Linked DNA regions of Astyanax mexicanus. The main gene of each other region encodes a partner of the protein of the gene in region 2 in a complex. Links are inferred from orthologs where the notes say so. Each region holds a gene or a part of one and is shown on either strand. Other genes may lie near its edges.

Region 1 (7,853 bases), about 22 Mb from region 2:
TGATCCAGTAGTTCAGCTGAATACATAGTACATGCCCCAGTAGTACATAGTACACCAGACCCCTTTAATTACTTACTACTGCACTCGTCGTCCGCACATCTCTTAAAGTCGGAAAATCGCCGCTCCAGAGAGGCGTGTGTAAAACGCACACAGAAAAACAGTATAAAAGGGTAAAAACGCCACAGCAGCGCTGTCATGTTGGCTGGTTGGGATAGGGCAGCGGGCTGCCTGAGCGGGGGCACAGCGCTGAGCCGAGCCGAGCCGACACGTCAGCAGATCTGCAGCCGCTGCTGCGTCTGTACCGAGTCTGATGCTCCAGGCAAGCAGGAGAAAAAAGACTGGAGTCATGTTACACAGGATCCGGGAACACTTAAAGACACAGACTCACAGGAACTTCCCCACACTCTGTAGAAGAAAACCAAACAACAAAGAACATTGAATAAGCATAATTGTATGGTTGTATTACATTTTGTATGTTGATGATGGAAAAACGACATTTAAACAACATTAACACGACATTATTGGCTAGCATTAAAATTCTGACATTAACCTTTTAACATGCCTTGTCTCGTATACAGGCTACAGGTGTAGGTGATACAAAACTATTTCTTTCTGCAGTAAAAAAAAAAAAGATTATTCACACTCTGACAACTTTGAGGGCTTTGAAGACTCTTACAGGTTTCTTGAAGAAGCTGCCTGACCACTCTCTTCTCCACTTAATAATATCAGATCAGTAACAGGAATCAAACAAATTACTGCAGGTTTGAAAATAGACATAAAAACTAGACAACAGTAACAAAACGAAAGGTTTGGAGGACAATACAAGTTTCATTTGTATTCAGGAAAATACTGATTTTAAAGTGAAGTTTAGGAAAGTACCAATGTTATGATTATTATTCATTATATTTGTAAAGGGGCAGATTTATTTATAAATTGTAAAATAATTTCTGTTACATTTACAATTATAATTTGTAGTCACTTTTATTACAATAAATGAAAGCTTTTTATATAATGCTTGATTTTTTTTTAAAGATTAAGGTGTGTAATATCAGGGTGAAAATGAACAAATATTCTAATCTGTTAAATCAACGTTCATTTAAAGGTTTTTATGTTTAAGGCTCTTCACCACTCACAATGATTTAGCCGAAACGTGCTCCCAATTAAATAATAATTATTGTTATCTGTTTTAGACTGGACTCAAGTCAAAAAAAGAACTTCTTCAAAGAGAAGCAAAGAAGAGACAGTGATCTGCAATGATCTGGGGATGCTTCAGCAAGGCTGGAATTGGGCAGTTTGGTCTTTGCGAATGACGCATGAATCAAGCTGCATACAAGGTTATCCTGGAAGAAAACTTCCTTCTATCTACTCTACCAATGTTCCCAACTCTGGGGAATGTTTTTCTTTTTCTATCAGGACAATGCTCAATTCCACACAGCTAGATCAATTAGGGTGTGGATGAAGAACCACCAGATCATGGTGTCATGGCCAGCACAATCTCCAGCCCTGAACCCCATTGAAAACCTATGGAATGTAATCAAGAGGTAGATGGTCACAAGCCATCAAGCTGAACTGCTTGAATTTTTTGCCAGGAGTCTCATAAGTGGCAAAGCAGTTTGAAAGACTGAAAGACTCTTTCTTAGTTACTTTTGTATTGTTGTTTCTAAATAAATATATTAACTTTTTTTGTTTGCATTATTTAAGTTTGAAAGCACTGCACCTATTTTGTTAATTTGACCTTTTCTTATTTTCTGCAAATGTATTATTTTTTATATTTTAAATATACAATGTTTTTATTTGGAATTTGGGAGAAATGTCATCAGTAGTTTCTAGAATAAAATCACAATGTTTATTTTACTCAAATATATACCTATAGATAACAAGGCTGAAGTTTGTTTGATATTCGCAGCTCCAGATTAGATAGTTGTTATGCAAGAAGCAACCCCAAAGTTAATTGAGAAAGTGATTTAGTTTTTTGTACATTGGTAAATAAAATGGAAAAAAAAAATCTGAGAGCTCAAACTGAACTGTATCCTGTCATCCAGATTTTATCTAGGCCCTGCTAACCCCAGGGTCTCATAACTGCCCACCCCACACACCATGTGGGGTGAACATGAGCAAAGGCCAGCACGGTAGTGGGGAGGGGGGATAATCGTGCTCCAGCATGGTTTAAACAAAGCGTGCCCAGTGTATGCCATAGACACTCCTACCTATTGCTGCTCCACACTGTAAATATAAAGTCAAAGAGACTCATCTGCTGCACAGTTTGTGTTGATCATTCTTTAGTTCTGTAGTTCAGTGGGTACCGGACACTTTCTAATGGAGGCTGGCCACAGGATATGTTTAAAAGTTGTCTGATTCAGTTGTACCAGCACAACACAAACTAATAACACACAACCACCATGCCAGTGTCACTGCAGAGCTGAGAATGATCCACCAATCAACCATCAATGCAGTAAAGAACATTGAGATCTCAGAGCTACATATGCTGCCTTTAGGACCACAACTTTTCCAGGCCGTTGCAAAAGAAGGTACTGGTACCGAACTGGCCTGCCTGCAGTCCTGATCTGTTCCTGGTAGATATCCCTGTACTGTTGCACATCTTTAGATGAAGAATGAGACAAAATAACACCCGAAACACTTAATCACTTGATATCCTCTGTGCCTAAATATCTTCATAAAGTCCTGTGATAAACAATGGTAAGATTACAAAGTGGGAAATGCTTTACTGTCCTTTTGGAATATTTTGCTGAAATGTGTTTCAGGGCTGTTACTCAAGAATTAATGAACAATAATAAATCAAATGAACAAAAAAACATAAAGATAAAAATGTAAGACATTTTTCTTATTTGGGGTTTTAAATGTGGTCACAATTACTCCCTATATAAGGTATAATGGATATTTTCATAATTCCTGAAAATTGAATATAAAATACTGCACAACCAGTTAATATAATCCAAGTTCTCACTGTTTTCAGGAAGTGTGAGAAATGGCACATTGTGTACATAGGCTTGGTGTGTATTTCTACAGGTTTACAGCTGCTTATCTATCTTCTCTAAAAGGAATTCATCTGAACCTGAAGTGTGATCTTATCTAAGCCATAAATAAAACTGATTAAAGAAATGCACAAAATTGCATAATTATAGTCATACATTGTTTTTTTTTCACTTATATTTTAATTAATTGGAGCTCACCAGCTTGTGTGAACAGTTATATTGTATAAACGATCCACAATCAATTTAATCCTTAGATGCATAGTAAGTCAAAAATTACCCAAACATCTTTCTTGCAATATCTTCAAAATGAGAAGTTCTCATTTCATATTTCAGATATTCCTTAAATAATATATTACTGGAATCATGCCACATTCATTTTAACTTACCTTTTATACATTTTACTAAAATCTACTAAGTCTTTTGTATTATCGCCCCAATGGTGGTCAAGAATTACCCGCATTAATATCCTGTAAAAATGCATGGGAACAATTGATTATCAGCTGTGACAGAAATAAATATTTTGTGGACCACATAGATGATATCAAAAATGTCACCCTTTAAGAATATTATTTTACCTTAATTTTTTTAACCCCCACCAAAATGATGTGTGTATGTCTAATTAAAATATATGTGTGTGTGTGTGTGTGTGTGTGTGTGTGATTCATGTCTGTGAAGGAGTGTTTCTTATCATAAAAATAGCTTATTTTTCAGTTTTTCAGCAAGTGTGCTTCTTGACAAATAAAACATGATCTCTTTCTGTTTCCCTTAGACTGTCTATGTGAGAAATCATTTACCATGTCAAGTAGTACAGGCCTTAGTGTCCAACATTGCTGTGATGAGTGAAGCCTCTATACAGCAGCAAATAGAAATCAAGATCTCTGGTGCTGCATGCTCGTGTCGTGTGCAATTAAAATGTTTAAATTCAAATGTTTCATTAGAATGTTTGCTAATTTTAAGCTAAATGAGTCAAATATTCCATTCTAATTTAGAATGTATTTAAAAAGTTGATCTGAAGTCATTCTGAAATAAATAAATAAAAAACTAGACATATGAAACTTGGCCATGTTATGTTATCTGTTCTCAGCCTGAATACCATTTGCTATTTTTTGAAAACACAACAGAACTTCTAGACTTTTCTCACATTCATTTACATAAGACAACCGGACATCAGGTGAACGAATGTGTACGGTTTGAGCCGCATCTACAGTATACAGCAATATATAGCAGTATACAGTTTTCAGTGATGATCACCTGCTATTAGAGAAGAGCACAGTGGCTACACTTTTACTCTTTCTTTAACAAGAATGACCAACATATAATGTCTGTGTGCCATTCTAGGTGAGCACAATGCAGGCCCCCTTGTGAAAAAGTGTTTGGCCCCCTAAACCTAATAACTTGGTTGTGCCACCCTTGGCAGCAACAACTGCAATCAAGCTTTACCGATAACTGGCAACCAGTCTTTCACATCTCTGCTCTGTGGAGGAATTTTGGTCCACTCCTCTTTACAGAAATGTTTTAATTCCACCATATTGGAGGATTTTTGAGCATAAACATCTTGTTTAAGATCATGACACAGCATCTCAATCGGACATTGACTAGACCACTCAAAAACCTTCATTTAGTTCATTAATTTTTCTTTAAATGACTTTATTCTACTTCCCAGAATTGATGTAACACCCTGGATTAGTTACTAATGAGTGTAGCTCCATTCACTGAGGACTCAGTCGCGGACTCCCTCTAGCGGAGTGCAGCAGTGCTCTGAGGAGGAGGCAGGAGGTGGGTAGACGCTCTGGTTCCTCTCCGACGGTAGATGGCGGTATGCGCTGAAACCATGCGGTGAACCTGCAGTTAGTCTGTAGAAAAACAAAGAGCACGTGAGTTTCATACGAGCGGGAGACGCGCTGTAGATAGAGAGAGAGGCCACACTCAGATAACTCCACAGCAGCAGAGCCCCTGTACGAGCTCTTACCACACAGCCCCTCTCACCAGAGAGAGAACTGAGAACACTGAACATACAGGACTGTCTATTGTGAGTCTGTCGGTTATGGATGATATCGAAGCAGAGCTCGGTATTTCTCGATCAGTAGGAAATGAAGACTTTTCAGACTCTTCAGAGGATGAAAGAGTTGCCAGGAAGATCAGACCGCCTATTCTACTGCACTCCTCCACCGCTCAGGGTAATGTATCTTAATAAAAATACACTAATCTCAGCTGCTGCACCACAATAAAAAACACTTCATATTCAGTTTTAACTGGTAAAAACTCAAATTACACATCAGATTTGACTAGAAAAAAACGCCCCTTGCAGTGATCAGCAATACAATATTTACCAGTAATAATATCAGATCTACAGCTCTATAAAATCATTCTCACTACTCATACTGTCAGGAACACATCCTGAGTGTAATTCTGACTAGTCATATGATATCCCTGATTTACACGGAATTTCACTTTTTTATCTACAGTTACATTTTACCAGTTAGATGCTCTTAAGTTAATTGAAATTGAATGAAATTGTAATTCCAGGTAGCCTATATACACTGTAATTCAACTCAGGTATTGACATCTACAGTTCAGGTTTCGATTAGTAATAATATTATTATTTCCTGGTAAGAATAACAGTGTAGATGTGTGGAACTAGTACTACATTATTTTACTAGAAAATTGTAGATCTTTGAAACTTTAATGTTTTAACTAGTTAAATATAATTATAGAGCAAAGAATGTGAGATTACTTGTTAGTCAGTGGTAACCTGACTAGTCAGAATTACATTATGGACGTGTTACTTATACTGTCTAAAAAAATGTAAGGGAACACTAAAATTCCAGTTGAAAATCTTTACAGATATAAATTGTATAATAAGTTGGGTGGGCAGAAAATCTAAGTAAAACATTGAAATATTAGGCTCATCCAATTTCTGTAAGTTTAATAACAGAAACTCAATGTTTTTTCAAATCCTTCATTAAAGTGCACACTGGTGACTGGGGCTGGGGAAGGAAATTTAATTCAATATTTTAGATTGGAAACGTGAATGCCTTTGGGAAAAATCCTATGCATACTTAGGTAGTATGTATTTAGCATATTTAGTTTGAACATTAGGTGAGCAATGTTTTATCCAGTGAGAGGAATCTGTCTTATATGTTCATTTTCCTGTAAATAAGGGAAAATTATTAAAAATATATTTTTATGTGCCCATTGGAAAATCCAAGTTTCCAACCAGTGAATATGAATTTGTGTATGCGTTTTTGAGATTTCCAACACAAAGGCAGCATTGAGCTTGTTAATGTATGTGCCTCAGGCTATGCTTGTAGGTGAAAGGGTACATACACTTGATTGCAGACATTACTTATTTGTATTTTCCACTTACAATAATTATTTCATTTTAGCAAGGGCTAAAGAAAGTGGTTTTCACGAATCTTCAAGACTATGTCTGAAGGCCATAAGAGACGCTATGCTGCACCATCATTGGCAAGAGGCAGCACAGTACTTGTCTGCTTACTCTCAGACACTGGAAGATACCACAGTCAACAAGCAGTCACTAGCCTGTGAGGTAAGCAATTCTCTTTGAGATTACTTGGATTTCTGCGTAAATTGGTAATTAAATGTCACAACAATAGACAAACACAGTCTGCTTAAACTAGTATCACATATGTTTGCATGGTTTTATTGAATAACTGGTTGACCCTCCTTTGGCAGCAAAAACATCAACCAAACATTTCCTGTAGTTGCAGAGCAGACCTTCACAACGGTCAGGAGGAATTTTGGATCATTTATCTTCACAAAACTGTTTCTGTTCAGCAATATTCTAGGGATTTCTGGTGTGAATCGCTCTCTTGAGGTCATGCTACAGCATCTCAACTGGGTTAAGGTCAGGATTCTCCAGAAGGATTTTTTTTTTCCGTTGAAGCCAACTAAAATGTTAGCATGTGCCAGAGATTTCTGTACGTCTTTAGCTGACACTCTAGTATTCTTCCTCACCTCATTGATCATTCTGCGCTGTGCTCTTGCAGTCATCTTTACAGGACGACCACGTCTAGCGAGAGTCGCAACAGTGCTGAACTTTCTCCATTTTTAGAGTGTCTGTTTTACCGTGGACACATGAACATCAAAGGCTTTTAGAGATACTTTTGTAACTCTTTCCAGCTACATGCAAGTCAACAATTCTTGAACGTGGGTCTCCTGAGAGCTCTTTTGTGCGAGGTATGATTCACAATCAATGCTTTTTAAGAACAGCAAACTCAAAACTGGTGTATGTTTTTTAGGGCAGGGCAGCTTTAACCAACACAATCACCAATCTCATCACATCCTGGTTCCAATTAGCTCTTAGAAAAGTCATTAGCCTAGAGGTTCACATAATTTGTTAACATGTTGTGTTTAATGAAATCAGGCAAACATATATCTTTTTTGTGGTATTAGTTTAAGCAGATTGTGTTTGTCTATTGTTGTGACTGATGAATATTAGAACACATTTAATGATCAATTTATGCAAAAATCCATGTAATCCCAAAGAGTTCACATACTTTTTCTTGCAAATTTATATCCCAATGTTTATAAAAGGCAATCTCATAACTGTGCAGTAATTAAGGATATTGTACTAGTGTTAACTGATGCTCTGTAAAATACAGGTACAAAGTGGGACTTTGTGCTGAAACAATGACATACCAACTGATGTTTTGAATTGTTTGTTTAAATGACACCATTGTTTACAGTTTCAAGTGTTTTCTTTAATCCTCAGATTATTTGGAGACTAGGCACAGAGATTCTTCAGCATCATCCAAACTCTCGATTGGAAGATTTTAATGCTTTGTATGAACAGATGAAAAACTCTGGAGTGAAAAATTATGCTAAGGTATTATTATT
Region 2 (7,423 bases):
GAAAAAAACATGCATTTTGTTAAATATCATAGCACAACCGCTGTCTTTTTAAAGCAAAATAATTGTTCTCAGAAATCAGCATTCATAGACATGTTGTGCAGAAGTGTCTAAAATTGCATAAGACAGCATTTATATGCCAAATAAGACCTGCTAACACAGACTACTGCTATATCATTTTGTTTGCCCACCTCCACTCTAAAGATTATGGCATCCCTGCCATAAAACTGCATCTCTTCCGGGAACTCCTCATAGACGTTAATGTAAGGAATGAGCCTCCTGGACACTAACCTGCAACACAGAAATACTACACTTTAATGTCTTGTAGAGAAATGTGTAAAAGGAAATGTGTACAGTCTTTATTTTTATGTTAAATAAAATTATTTAATAACAAAAAAAAACACAATAAAGAAAAAAAAATACCCAGAACAACCTGTGCAATTAAATCCTGAATATCATATTTATGTATCTATATATAAGAGTAAAACTACATTCGTGACAAAAAAAATGACAACACAAAACACTCTTTTCATTCACCTGAGCAAATCTGCCAGTGTGATGGCCTCCCGAAGCCAAAGCAGGGCCAGATGGCACAGCGCCAGCGTCCGGGGCATGTTCATGAGTTGGCGACTCCTCCTCTCCTTTGCACTGAGGTAGCATGCGGCATCCAGAGAGCCTGAACACACTGAAGATCTCCCATCAGTGGAATGTCCTGTAAAAGACACACATGTATTTAACCTACCAACACAACACAACCCAGAAAACTGAAAAGACAAGAGTAAATGTAAGTAAAAACCATACCTGAGGCTGACATAGGCTCTGTCTGATCTGATGCTTCACTTAGAAATGCAGACTCCGGCTCACTCTCAGAGGATAGGTACTGCAGAGTTGGTTTAAGAAACATAGCAAAAATGAGTACCATGTAAAAGTATAGTGTGTAATTCACTCACATAAAAGAGCAATAATTTTCACAGCAAATTGGAACCCCTGACAAGCCCAGGCAATAGAACGACCGCTCCACACTCACCACTGTATTTGTAAAACTGTTCACTGGTGATCTTGTGTAAGCCTGCCTGGTTATCTGAAGGTATCGCTTCCAGAAATCCCAGAGCACATCTGTCTGTAAAATATAATTTATTTAAATAAATAAAAGCTCATCTTGGTACCTGCACATATTTGCAGAGCTTTACTGACCTTAAACTGTGGGCACACACCCAGACCAACCAAAGCTTCTGCCTGAAGTTTTAGGATGAACTGAAATCCTTCACATACCATCCACTCTCGTCCACCTTCTGATGGGTCAGGCAAAAAGAAGATAAACAACAGTTTTGTTACAACACACCACATATTCTTGCATAAATGCTTAGGGATCCTTGACCAAAAGACAACTTTTTTGTATAGAATACCAGTTATTTTTCTATTTCTACAAAAATCAGCTAATCCTAATGCCAAGGGACTTCTTTGTCTTTTCATATGTGGCTGTTCCAGATTAGTTATATTTCACTGTTGTGCTCAGATAAATGCCTGGGTTTTACTGGATTCAACAATTATATGAGGTTTCTGAAAAAATGGACATGCAGTGTATATCATATCTTTTCAGAGCATACTGTATGAGCAGATTACAGCTGTGACTTACCTCTTCTCGTTTTCTTGCGTGAGCTTGATGATATGGAGGATATTTTATTGTTTAGAATAAATGAGGATACATCCACAACATCTTGTGTTTTCTGTAAACAACCAAATGACAGGTCACAAATTAGATACAGTATTTGTAGGAAAAATATAATGTGAAGAAAATAAAGGATTGTGAAATTAGAACAACAAAATTGAAATCTTTCTCAGTTATAACAGGGTTGGATGATATGGGGTTGAATGATATGGTCAACAGTTTATATCACAATATATTTCTTGGTTTCAATTGATATGATACAATTAAAATATTGAACAATAGAAAAGCCATAAAACAACTGTCAATAACACCTACAATATCTGTTTGCACACACAAACTTCAATTGAATTGAATTTAACAAGTCATGTAATACATACATATACATCGTACACAATCATATATACAGCTCTGGAAAAAAAGAAACCACCTAAAAATGATGAGTTTCTTTTATTTTACCAAACTGAAAACCTCTGGAATATAATCAAGAGGAAGGTGGATGATCACAAGCCATTAAACCAAGCTGAACTGCTTGAAATTTTTGCACCAGGACTGACATAAAGTCATCCAAAAGCAATGTGTAAGACTGGTGGAGGATAACATGCCAAAATGCATGAAAAGTGTGATTAAAAACCAGGGTTATTTCACCAAATACTGATTTCTGAACTCTTTAAACTTCATGAATATGAACTTGTTTTCTTTGCATGATTTGAGGTCTGAATGCTCTGCATCTTTTTTATTTCAGCCATTTCTCATTTTCTGCAAATAAATGCTCTAACGTTAAATGACAATTTTTTTACTTGGAATTTGGGAGAAATGTCGTTGATTTTACTCATATATACCTATAAATAGCAAAATCAGAAAAACTGATTCAGAAACTTAAGTGGTCTTTCCTCATAACAGACTGAAGCTGTTGTGGTTACCTCGATCACATTGTGGCAGTTCCTGCAGAAGAACTGACACCCATCTGAGAGCGCCCAGGACACAGCTCCACACTGCTTACAGGGCTCACTGTAGCCCTCCTGAGAACACACACACACACACACACACACACACACACACACACACACACACACACACACACACACAGATCAAACAATACGGCATTAACACTGCAGCATATTAACTGTTTATCAATATCACAGCTAGTTTAATATTTTTCACAGTTTAAACTCACTGTTAGATGTTCGTCCATGTCTGAATGACTTCTGTGTTGTTTCAGGGAGGAGACATATCCATTCAACTGAGTTTAGACAGCTTCACTCACTGTATCTCCCACAGTTTTAAATTTACCACAACACGCTTTACTACACGCTCAGTTTTCCAAAATGGCTTTCAGGATCTATTTTTCAACATAAAAGTCTCAGTGTCACAAGAATCTCATCTGGGTTTGTTACACCACTAGAGGGCGCTTTTGAGTGAATCCAAAATGAATGGGTTCATATGAAGCGTTTGAGCAAAATCAGAGTTTATAAATGTTTCATATTGAAAGTTTTTAAACTCTATATGAGTACTAGAGACTCAGACTCGAGTAAAAACTGTGCTCAAAGTAAAGTTCTGAAAGTAAACGTACAGTACTGTAGTTATTACAGAAAGCGGTGAAAAGTGGAAAGCAGCGTGAAAGACAGAGCGGGTGCAGTGTGGTCTTCTTATAAGATCAGGATAATCATTTGATTCAGTGATGAGCAGCTTCATCAAACCCATTGCCAGTGCAGAGCATCTACCACTCTGGCCTTAGTGATAATGTGGGTTTGAGATGATTCCTAACATTTTCATAATTGTAACAAGTAACGATGCAGCACATAAACAATATAATAGTTCTACTTCACTACTGTAGTTACATCTCTGATCTCTAGGACCTGTTCACCAACCAGTCAGCCAGCAGTGATGCTAGATGATCTACTGTCTGAAACCCTTTAACTTACATAGTACTTCTTTTGTACTATGTAAGTGTGTTTTAGCTTAATTTTGTACTGTTTTATTTTAATAATCTCTTATCTTTTTTTTATCGTAATTTCTTATCAATTAAACCTCATGTTTTATTTTATCTAATAGTATCTATTTTATCACTGTTATCTTAACATTTATTTTCATTTATGGTTATGATAATGATTAAATGTAGTTATTATTGTCTTCGTTGTGTCAATCCCTATTTTTGTAAGTGTTTGACTACATTGAAAATGAGTGTTGGCATTAATGTTCTTCTCTGAGTCAAAATAATGGTTGATTGATTGATTAACAAAGTACTTCAATTAACTTTCTGAAATTCTAGGGATCCCCTAAATACGTTGTTTTATACTATTTTTAATTTGTGTTTTACCTGTTTAGCTTCATTTAACCCCATTCATTGAGGTCTCTCTGGCGGGCTCCCTCTAGCGGTGAGCAGTGGTTATCTGGTGGAGATCAGTGGAGGTATGAAGCAGTGGGCGGTCCCTCTACATAAACCTGCTCCCTGGTCAGACACTAGAGGGCGCTCCCGCTTGTATCAAAATAATGGATTTCTAAGGGCCTTTTAATAAAGATCTGTAAATAAATGATTTTGCATTTATACAGACAGCTGCATACGTTCTCTCATCACAAAAAACAGTATTAAAAAATATCTACCTCATATTTATACCTGTTCAACATGAGCTGAACAGACTTGGCAGCACTAATACTAGTTCAGTCAGCCAGCGAGCATTTTACAGCCTAAACATCTTTACTGGAAGATACTGGTAAGTTTCCATCGACATTATTTTCCTGAATTAACAGTTCCTTTATCTTTTTAGCTGTATTTAAACCTGATTCAAGATCTGCATGTAAGTGATTTCCTTCATATATGAGTGGATTTTGTGAAAATGGGTTTTATTCTTTAAGCTCCCAATTAATTTACTAGAAAACTAGCTTGAAAACAGCTTTTACTGTTAACTACAAAACTGCCTAAACATTTTTTCCTTTTTTGTTTTCTTATTCTACTAGGAGGTTTTATTTTTTAAGTATCGGTTCTTCTTAGCGTTTCTTTGGCGTTCATCCTTGTTTGGTTTAGTTCAGTTGTTTGTTTGCCTACATCAGGGATGGGCAACTGGCGGCCCGGGGGCCGCACACGGCCCTCGTCATCACTCAGTGCGGCCCGCGAATAGATCAAAAATAATTTAATAATTTCATAATAAAAATAAAAAAAAAACAACAAAAAAAACGTAATTCTACTTTTGACCAAACAACCACGAAAATTGACATTGACATCCAGTCCATTGTGAGCCAGCAGGCCAAACCACAGCTCTCTCATTAGCTTCAATAAATGTTGGGCCTCTGTGGTCTAGTTTTCTGCTATTATTGAATGAGCTATTTGCAATCAGTTTTTAAATCTTTTTTGTTCTTTGTTATAAATGAGTTCAAATGCCTTTTGCACTTTTATAAGCAAATGTTTTGTCCTTGTTGCTTATGAAGGACTTGTTATAATGAACTTATTTTACACAGAGGAACTACTGTATTTGCAATCAGTTTTTTAAGCAAACTTTTTGTTCTTTGATATGAAGGACTTCCTTTTTGCACTTTTTTTAAGCAAACGGTTTGTCTTTTGCCGTATTAAAATGCATTAATATGCAGAAAATAGTTGTTGATAAATGTTGGTGCTGTAAACATACAGATATAAATTCATATAAAATTTGTTCTTATTGAAAATCATTTGTAGCGTTTTTCATATTCAATTATTTGAAGTGCGAGGTCATGTGGCCCTCCAATGGTCATGCTGAAAAAAATGTGGCCCTCTCCATCATGGAAGTTGCCCATCCCTGGCCTACATGGTTTTAGGTTGTTTCTCATTTTGAGTCTTGGTTATTCTTAGTATTTCTACCATATGTCTTTGGGGCTTTGCTCCTTTTGAGTCTTGGTTATTCTTAGTATTTCTACCATATGTCTTTGGGGCTTTGCTCCTTTTGAGTCTTGGTTATTCTTAGTATTTCTACCATATGTCTTTGGGGCTTTGCTCATTTTGAGTCTTGGTTATTCTTAGAATTTCTACCATATGTCTTTGGGGCTTTGCTCATTTTGAGTCTTGGTTATTCTTAGTATTTCTACCATATGTCTTTGGGGCTCTGCTCCTTTTGAGTCTTGGTTATTCTTAGTATTTCTACCATATGTCTTTGGGGCTCTGCTCCTTTTGAGTCTTGGTTATTCTTAGTATTTCTACCATATGTCTTTGGGGCTCTGCTCCTTTTGAGTCTTGGTTATTCTTAGTATTTCTACCATATGTCTTTGGGGCTCTGCTCCTTTTGAGTCTTGGTTAGTCTTAGTATTTCTACCATATGTATTTGTGGCTTTGCTCCTTTTGAGTCTTGGTTATTCTTAGTATTTCTACCATATGTCTTTGGGGCTCTGCTCCTTTTGAGTCTTGGTCAGTGTTTTGTTCAAATGTTTTTAGGGTGTCTCTTTTAGCATTTCTTCCACATTCCTGGTGTTTTAATTGTTGGTTGTTCTTTAGAGACTTGGTTCAGCTCAGTGTTTCTTTGTGCTTGTCACAGTTTAGCCCATGTCTGTGTTATGTTTCTCCCTCGTTTGTTCCCTAGTGCTCCTGCCCCTCTGTTTACCTGTCATGTGTTCCCTGCCATGTGCTTGTGTTGTGTTTTGTGTACCTGTTTCCGCCCTAGCCCCGCCCTAGTCCCGTCCTAACCATTAGTGTTCTCACCTGTGTCCTGTTTGTAACCCCGCCCCCTCGTCATCCAAGCCCAGGTGTTTCTCACTCCCCTCCTGTATTTAAGCCCCTCTGTTTGAATGTTCAGTGTCGAGTCTTTTGTATTTTGTCTTTTGTATTTTGTATCCTGTATTTTGTATCCTATATCCTTAGTCTGTATGTATCCTTGCTGCCCGTATGTTTCCTAGTCCTAGTTAGTGTGATTGCAGTATGCAATCACAGTATTGTTCTTCTTAAGTCTTATTCTTATTATTAGTGTGATTGCAGTAATGCAATCACAGTACTGATCTTCTTAAGTCTTATTCTTCTTCTTCTTCTTCTTCTTCTTCTTCTTCTTATTATTATTATTCCACCTGTTTTTTGTCCGGTTAACTAGTGCCGCAGTTTTCGAAATATCGACTTCGTTCAAAAGAGAAAACGTGCGTCCTTATCGGGAATGGTGGGCTTGTATACAGCTTTCCGATCGGACTTACGTTTTTCGTAAAAACTTCGTAAGTACGCGTTTTTTTGACCATTGAAAATGAATGGGCAGAACTTTGCACGCCCGTGGACGTCGCAATTTTTGAAATACGAAGATGAAACCAATTGAGGACCTGTAGAACTTATTGAGCTCTTTCCGAAAATATGCGTTACGAAAAGTTACGTCGTACGGATTTCGTACGATTGTCGTACGAAGTGGCCCCATTGGAATGAATGGGGCCAATCGGAGGACGGCAGCTAGATCGAAGGACAGGTAGCTAGAACTCCAGTACTCTGTGTAATGGAGCAGCTATGGGATAAAACAGCATTAGGTCAAAAGTTTGGACACCCCGGCCCCCCAGTACTGTGTGTAATGGAGCCACGGGTCAAAAGTTTGGACACCCTGGCCCCCCAGTACTGTGTGTAATGGAGCCACGGGTCAAAAGTTTGGACACCCCCGAACGGCCAGAGCAACCTAGCGTGCATAGCTGATTGATGTATTTGCACGTTGCGTAGCAACGTGCAAACACCATTTAATCAAATATATGCATATACATCACCTAGCAACCACTTAGAAACACCATAGCAACCACCCTGGATACCATAGCAACACTTTAGCAACCACCTAGCAA
Region 3 (7,039 bases), on a different chromosome or scaffold from region 2:
CTGGGTGGGGCGCTGAGGAGGTTCTCCAGCCGCCTGTCCAGCGGGATCAGGGCGTCTCTGAGGAGGAACCAGCCCAACAACAACAACGCTGCTGGAAGAAGATCTGGAGCTGCGAAGAGAGGAGGCCCGGTGACTCTGGCCATGAACGCTGAGGATCTGAGCACTGTGTGTGAATCTGTGACCACTGTGGAAACTTCTCACACTTCAGCCATATGAACAGTGTCTTCACATGACCTTTCTTCAGTGATGGACATCACGTGGGATCATTTAAATAATGATTCTGTAAATTAACTCGTTTTAAAATGTTATTTCAGTAAATGAAGGTGTACACTCAGTTAAGATGTGTAAACCTTTGTTTTGTTTATAGAAGAACATATGCTAACTTATTAATAGCATCAGTAGTGTTATTCAATATTAGTTATTTTTCTTTTTGCTGCCCGTTACGTTAAATTTCATTAAATGTCATTTTAAATTACAATGTTAAGAACTACTACTAGAAAAAAAATATTTAAGGATATTCATTTTGTTAATAAAAACTAAGATGCTACTTAAGTTAGCTTACTTACTGCTAAGCATCAGTAGGAGGTTAGTTTAATAATATCTACTTTACAGTACTGCACAGTTTTTCCCCACACAATACATTTACATGTTCCTAAATGCTGTTTTAACTAGTATATAAATTAAATAGTATATATTTAAATGAAGGCATACATTCATTTAAGCTTTGTATGCCTTTGTTTAGTCTTTTTAGCTAATTATGCTAACATATTACAATCAATATAGTGTTTCTTTGGCTAGCTAACACTGCAAATTTTTTTGGCACATATTATGTTTAAATATTACTAAAAGTAATTTGAATATTTATATAAAACATTCTTTTAATTGTTAAATTGTAGAAGTAGTACACAATGCTAAATAAGAAGAGCTATACATTTTGTTTTTTTATGGTAATAGTTGATGCTGTAAACTTGCCTTTATTGTTGTTTGTGCTGATTTGGCTACCAATTATTTAAAAAATCTTTACATATCAATTAAGTATAAAATTACAGAAATTACACTTAATATTGGCATCACAAGTGATTTATTGTCCCAACATTGCTGTAGTATGACCTGCATTTTGTTACCTGTATTGTTTAACAGTCTTGCACAGGCTGAACCAACATTTCTTTATGTGTTTTTGACTCTTTGTTGTTAATTTTCCCTCAAAAATGGGCATTTCAGTTTGAGGAAGTACAGTCTTCAGAGAAATGAGAGCACATTAGCCTTCTTATCAGTCTGTTAACCATTAACCCCATTTTACTGAGGACCTGCCCAGTGCAAAAACCACACACTTAAAATGCGGGATGGAAAAATGATGTGTAACACCTGCTAGCAGTAGTGGAAGTTTCTGAACACACAGGACTGTCAGGTTAATAACGAAATAATTATCATGTAATTGAGAACTGTACAGAGAGACCATATTTACCGTTCTTTTTTTTTCTTTTTTTTTTGTATGCAGTTTGTTTTACAGTGTTTTTATACCTGTTTTTAATCAGCATTGCTGAGAAGATTCATTGCAGAAGACTAAATGATGAATATAATTATTTTGTTGTTATGTTTGTATTTGTTTACACTATGTTGATCAAATTTAATTTAGAATTGCTCAGGGTTTGACTGATTTTCAAAATATAGTGTATTACAGGTTATTAATGAGCTGTTTCAAATTCTAATTAGTAATCTGTTAGACAACAATTTTCAATGTAAAGCAATCGTATTAAATTTTGTTTTTGTAATTTGCAATGTTTTTTATGTTCTATTTAGAATTTACGTTAACCATCATTTACATTTGTGTCATTTTACTGATCGTTATGTTTTGTTTCTGAGACCCTGCCTTGTGAAATAATTAATAAATGAAGCAGTATTTTTTTATCTGGTGTTTCATACTGATTTTAATGGGGAAACCTTCACTGATATCCTTTTCTATGCTAAATTACACTCATAACCTTTGACCAATGAGGATCGTTGAATTGTAGATACTTCCTCTTATCTTCTGTTTGCTCTTATAAAATAGGAACGGCTGGCAGAGATGGTCAGAATTAATTGGTGGCAGTTTAAGTTGTCTACTCATATATTGTATGTATAGTTTAGTATACTGTTGTGTTATGGTTCAAGATTTTTGTATTTTATGTGCAGTTCAGATTCCTGCTGCTGCCCAGAGTTAAACACAAACAAGTAAACAATCAACTGTGATAGAAATATCTCAAATATACAGAAGGGAAAATAACTATTTGATTTTGTAAGTTTATTCCCTTACAAGGGCAGGAACAGTCTGTATTTTTAAGGTAGATTTATTTTGACAGCGACAGTCAGAATATAAAAAAAATCCATTGAATTAAGGTTATAAATTAATTTGTATTTTTACCAATTTGTATTATTACTAATTAAGCTATGCTAGCACTAGTAATGCCCCAACACCAGGAGGGTGAAGACTAGCACATGTCTCCTCCGTTAGCTGCTGTGGAGTAGCTAGTGCACTCAGCGGAAAGTACAGAGACTTGGCTCTGATACATCAACCCACAGATACCTCGTGCTGACCAGGACCAGGATTTGAACCAGCATTCTCCTGATCATAGTGTCTGCTGGACCACTCAGAGTCCCAGTGTTAATTTGTATTTGATTATGTGAAATAATAGAACATGACTTTGCAGAAAATTTCCAAATCCTAAAGGTTTAAGGGTGTCAGCAACTTTCCACATATTTTTTATGGGATTAAGGTTTGGGGACTGGCTAGGCCACTCCAGTACAATACAGTACAGTACAGTGTCTGTCCCCGTTAAAAGTAAACGTACCATAAAATTATAGCCATATAGACATATGTTCATGTCTTTTTAAACTTGAGTAAACTTGCTTAATCAGCAGGGGATTAAAAAATATTCACCCAAAAATATAAGTTGTTTGACCAAAAAAGGTTGGTTTATGATGTTGGTTGTTGAAGTAGGTCATCCAGAAAAAAATAATCCTACAACTATTCTAGCTAACTAAAATCAATCTGGTTGACCACCATAATCATGATTAACTTGCTTACCAGCATGACAGACTGACTTAGGTAGCCGACCAGTAAGCCAGTTTAGTCCATTAGACAAAATGAAATAGAATCCATGTCTGAAATGTCTGAAACTCTAAAAGCTCCTTCATAAAAATGTATTACAGCAAATGGTTATGAATACACTGTTTGATTGGTGGGTTTGGATAGTAAATAAAATATCAAAAGTATCAAGAAATTAGAGTTTGTAAGTTTTTTTCAAAAACAAACCAAAGATTTCAAAATAAACATATTCTAAATGTGTTAGTTTGACCCCTGAATGATGCTCAGAATTTTCTAAATTGTGTAGACTACATGTATTGTGTAAGCAATACATGTATTGTGTGTTAAACATGTTAAAATAAGTTTGCAAAATTAATTCAGTGAAAATCTGTGAATACTATAGAGATATTTTCATCAACAGCTGAAATTCATGTATTTTCAGAGAATTAACTACCTTGTGAACTACCTGAAGGTACTGAACTTTTAAAAATTTATTAATATGAACTTTTTTTCTTGCATTATTTGAGGTCTGAAAGCTCTACATCTTTTTTGTTATTTCGGACATTTCTCATTTTCTGCCAATAAATGCTCTAAATGACAATATTTTTATTTGGAATTTGGAAGAAATGTTGTCCGTAGTTTATAGAATAAAACAACAATGTTTATTTTACTCAAACATATACCTATAAATATCAAAATCAGAGAAACTGATTCAGAAACTAAAGTGTCTCTTATTTTTTTCCAGAGCTGAATGTTCAGCGCTATGCAGTATTGGAAACCTGTCAGGAGCATCGGCTAAAAGCTCTGTATTTCAGAGTGCTGGGGGTGAATGGAGGTGGTCTATTCGACACAAGTTTTACTCGTTATCGTGTTTTACTACAACCAGTCCATTTTCACTTCGGATTTCTCGTCTAATAAACCTCTTAGACCGCTGAGACCGGTGTTTTTACTCCAGGCCGGCGGGGGCGCTGTGAGAGCTGGCGGCTCTCCGCGGTTCTTGTTGTGAGAAGTCCAGCATGGTGCATGTGGCTCTCCAGTAGCAGCTGTAGGATTTTCTAAATATTGTGATTAAAGCAGTTTATCAGCGCGCGTATGGTAATGAGGTAGGTAATTTATATGTGTTTAATTGTTACAGTAACTGAAGAGTCGCGCTGTGGTGAAGCGACCCTTTATTAAACCTGTCCGCTTTACTGTGGACTAGTCCGGGCATGTTTATCAGAGGAACGCGGGGATTTAACACACTAACACACACTCATATCCGCGGGGAACAGGAGGGCTGGACATGTGCAGGGAAAATGTAAATATTCTAATGTCAAAAAATATCTTATTTAATAAGATATTTGCTATCTGCTTTTTTTATTTTCCTGTTCTACTTTAAATGCCTTAGGTACCAGAATGTAGTTAACTAGCTGCTGTACTGTTTAAGGTGAAACGGCAATTCCAAAAAGAAATCTGAATTAATACCTTAAAAAAATTAAAAGTATATATTGTGTTTGTTTTATTAATACTTTACAAAACACTACATGTGCTTCATATTTTTTTATATCTTTTTAATACTCTTGAATCACCTTAAAGTTATAACTACATTTGCAGAATCCTCTTAACACCAAAGCTATATCACCTGTATCAAGCATGTTTTAGTTAACATATAAGATACTAGACCTATAATAGTTAACTCTAAATTGAATGTTATAAAATGTATAATTATATATATATATATATATATATATATATATATATATATATATATATATATATATATATATTGTTTATAATTATAGTTTTTTTTATTATTATTAACTAAACAATTCCTGCAATTGTCAACATAGTTTTTTACTATATTTAACAGCTACATAAGCACTGGCTGCAATTTTTTTTTCATTAATATAATAAGGTTTATACTGATCAACAGTTTGCTGTGTTGCGATTTGTTTTCCAGATCTGATTGGTTATTCTTTAGAGGTTTAACATGGAAGTGGAAAGAGATTTTATGAACAGTCCTCCAATGAAAACAGTGCGATTTGGAAGCAGTGTAATCAACACGTTAGCCAAGGTGAAACAGGTAAGTTTTAATTCTGAATTAAATAGTTAAACAGTACTAGTCAAAACTTTGGACACACCTTTAATTTAGTTGTTTTTTACTTTAAAATGGTCTGCGTTGTAGATTAAGGTTAAAGTAATCAAAAATATGAAGAAAGGCATATAGAGTTTTTTAGAAAACTAAATAAGTGTTAAACAAATCAGAATATGTTTTATATTTTAGTTCTGTAAAGTAGCCCCTCTTGATTAGATGCCTGATTTGCACATCTTGGCTGGATTTTCTCTGTCAGCTTTATGAGGTATGTGAGCGTTCAGCTAACAGCGGTCCTAAACTTGTCAACAACACAGTGAAGAGCTCTATTTGAGTAAAGAAAACATACTTAATAAAATGAAGGTGTCAAACTGTAAAAAATGATTTTTTGATTGTTTTACACTTTTAAGTTCACTACACTATTCCTTTATTTACTATATCCTTCATTAATAGTGTTGAGGACTTCAATATTAATTTGCAATGTTAGAAAATAAATAATGGACATTGAATAAGAAAATGTTTCCAATAAGTTACCCTGAAAGGAGAGGGGACAGATGACTGAATCAGTTCATATTTGCTACAAAACATATACAAATACAGCAGAACAGCAAGGCTTTTTACAATTGGTATGTATTTAACGTCTCTCTTTTTTTTTTTTTTTTTTTAAGGGAGATACAGGTGATTATGAGCTGATAAAGCATCAACTTGCGGACCCGGACATCAAGGTACGAGTGTTTCTAAAGAAGTTCAATAAAAAATGAGTAAGGAATGCACAGGTGAATATGATTCACTGAGCCACAGCCCATCTCTCCTCCTGTTTCAGGATGCTCAGATTGTTAACTGGCTGCAGGAGTTCAGGAGCTGCGTCACTATGCTGGGAAAAGAACACGAGCAGCTGATCTATTCTGTCCTGGTAAGAACTACCATCATCACTATTTAGCTGTTTCAGAGTTAATCTATTTAATTCATTAGTTAATTCACTCACATTGTCAGTCAGTTGTTCACTTATTCATTTGCTCACTTGTTAAGTTTTCACTTTTGTATTTGTTTGATTACTCACTCACTCGCTTGTTTGTTAATTGTTTGGCTCACTCAGTTGGTCATTTGTTTCTTCATGTCCTCAATCTGTTACCCACATAGTCATGTATTCAATTTACTAATTTAATTACACACTCACTGATTGGTTCATTTCTTTACTTAATCTGTTGCTCACTCACCAAGACATTTAGATGCCTACTCATTAGTTTGCTCGCTTGTTAACTCTCTGAAATGTTCACACGTTGGCTCACCTGTCTGATCACTCTTTTGTTTTACTTGCTCTTGTCACAGTTGTTGACCTTCTAATAGGTCCTTCACAGAATAAGATGCCATAACAAGGTGACAGCTAGGGCTGGGGCGGTATTGATTTTTTATAACCGCGGTAAAAAACTAACGCATCACCGCGATATTGCGGTTAACCGCGAGACCCCAAACCAACCCCCCCCCCCCCACCCACCGCCCCCAAAAAAAAAAACACCACAAATTTATTGGTAACAAATCTTTATTCTTCAAACCATACAGCCTACATACAACCTCTACATAAACCATAAATACAGCATAACAAGTGAACATATGCTGCCTGTATAATTCGTCATTGTACAGCTAACCTGTCTTTTTCCGAGCAGACTTTTTGAAGGAGGAGCTTGTCCGCCTACCCCTTCTCCATCCATAGATCTATTTTAGGGCTGGCCCGAATAGCGGTTTTGAGCTCAGGATATTCGGCAGTAATTGGTAGCGAATATTCTAATATTCGTTTAAAAAAAAGACGAATTAATCCACAGCAAAATTTTCCACTGACCCCCGGCCCCGAAAAAAATATATTTCTCACCCCTTTCCTCGGGCCGTTCGGGCTCAAGGCTCAAGAA

The links. Proteins that work in one complex are often made in the same cells at the same time.
Region 1: taf1b (region 2) and taf1a share a complex: the UniProt entries of both Homo sapiens proteins name them as parts of the transcription factor SL1/TIF-IB complex. The link is inferred for Astyanax mexicanus from reciprocal best matches to the Homo sapiens genes TAF1B and TAF1A.
Region 3: taf1b (region 2) and rrn3 share a complex: the UniProt entries of both Homo sapiens proteins name them as parts of the pol I pre-initiation complex. The link is inferred for Astyanax mexicanus from reciprocal best matches to the Homo sapiens genes TAF1B and RRN3.

Annotation. Positions count from the first base shown.
Region 1 is NC_064408.1:54,374,734-54,382,586, forward strand, and holds the start of taf1a (TATA box-binding protein-associated factor RNA polymerase I subunit A), read left to right. Parts: upstream 1-4,853; 5' UTR 4,854-5,037; coding exon 5,038-5,170; intron 5,171-6,379; coding exon 6,380-6,543; intron 6,544-7,728; coding exon 7,729-7,842; intron 7,843-7,853. Other genes in the region: mia3 (transport and Golgi organization protein 1 homolog), read right to left, coding at 77-197. UniProt on the Homo sapiens protein: Component of the transcription factor SL1/TIF-IB complex, which is involved in the assembly of the PIC (pre-initiation complex) during RNA polymerase I-dependent transcription.
Region 2 is NC_064408.1:76,081,618-76,089,040, reverse strand, and holds the start of taf1b (TATA box-binding protein-associated factor RNA polymerase I subunit B), read right to left. Parts: upstream 3,006-7,423; 5' UTR 2,859-3,005; coding exon 2,841-2,858; intron 2,686-2,840; coding exon 2,587-2,685; intron 1,725-2,586; coding exon 1,634-1,724; intron 1,290-1,633; coding exon 1,192-1,289; intron 1,118-1,191; coding exon 1,025-1,117; intron 878-1,024; coding exon 799-877; intron 710-798; coding exon 535-709; intron 289-534; coding exon 189-288; intron 1-188. UniProt on the Homo sapiens protein: Component of RNA polymerase I core factor complex that acts as a GTF2B/TFIIB-like factor and plays a key role in multiple steps during transcription initiation such as pre-initiation complex (PIC) assembly and postpolymerase recruitment events in polymerase I (Pol I) transcription.
Region 3 is NC_064426.1:14,746,690-14,753,728, reverse strand, and holds the start of rrn3 (RNA polymerase I-specific transcription initiation factor RRN3), read left to right. Parts: upstream 1-4,039; 5' UTR 4,040-4,167; intron 4,168-4,268; exon of another isoform or gene 4,269-4,361; intron 4,362-5,003; 5' UTR 5,004-5,033; coding exon 5,034-5,126; intron 5,127-5,803; coding exon 5,804-5,860; intron 5,861-5,958; coding exon 5,959-6,048; intron 6,049-7,039. Other genes in the region: si:dkeyp-72e1.6 (transmembrane protein 238-like), read left to right, coding at 1-216. UniProt on the Homo sapiens protein: Required for efficient transcription initiation by RNA polymerase I (Pol I). Required for the formation of the competent pre-initiation complex (PIC).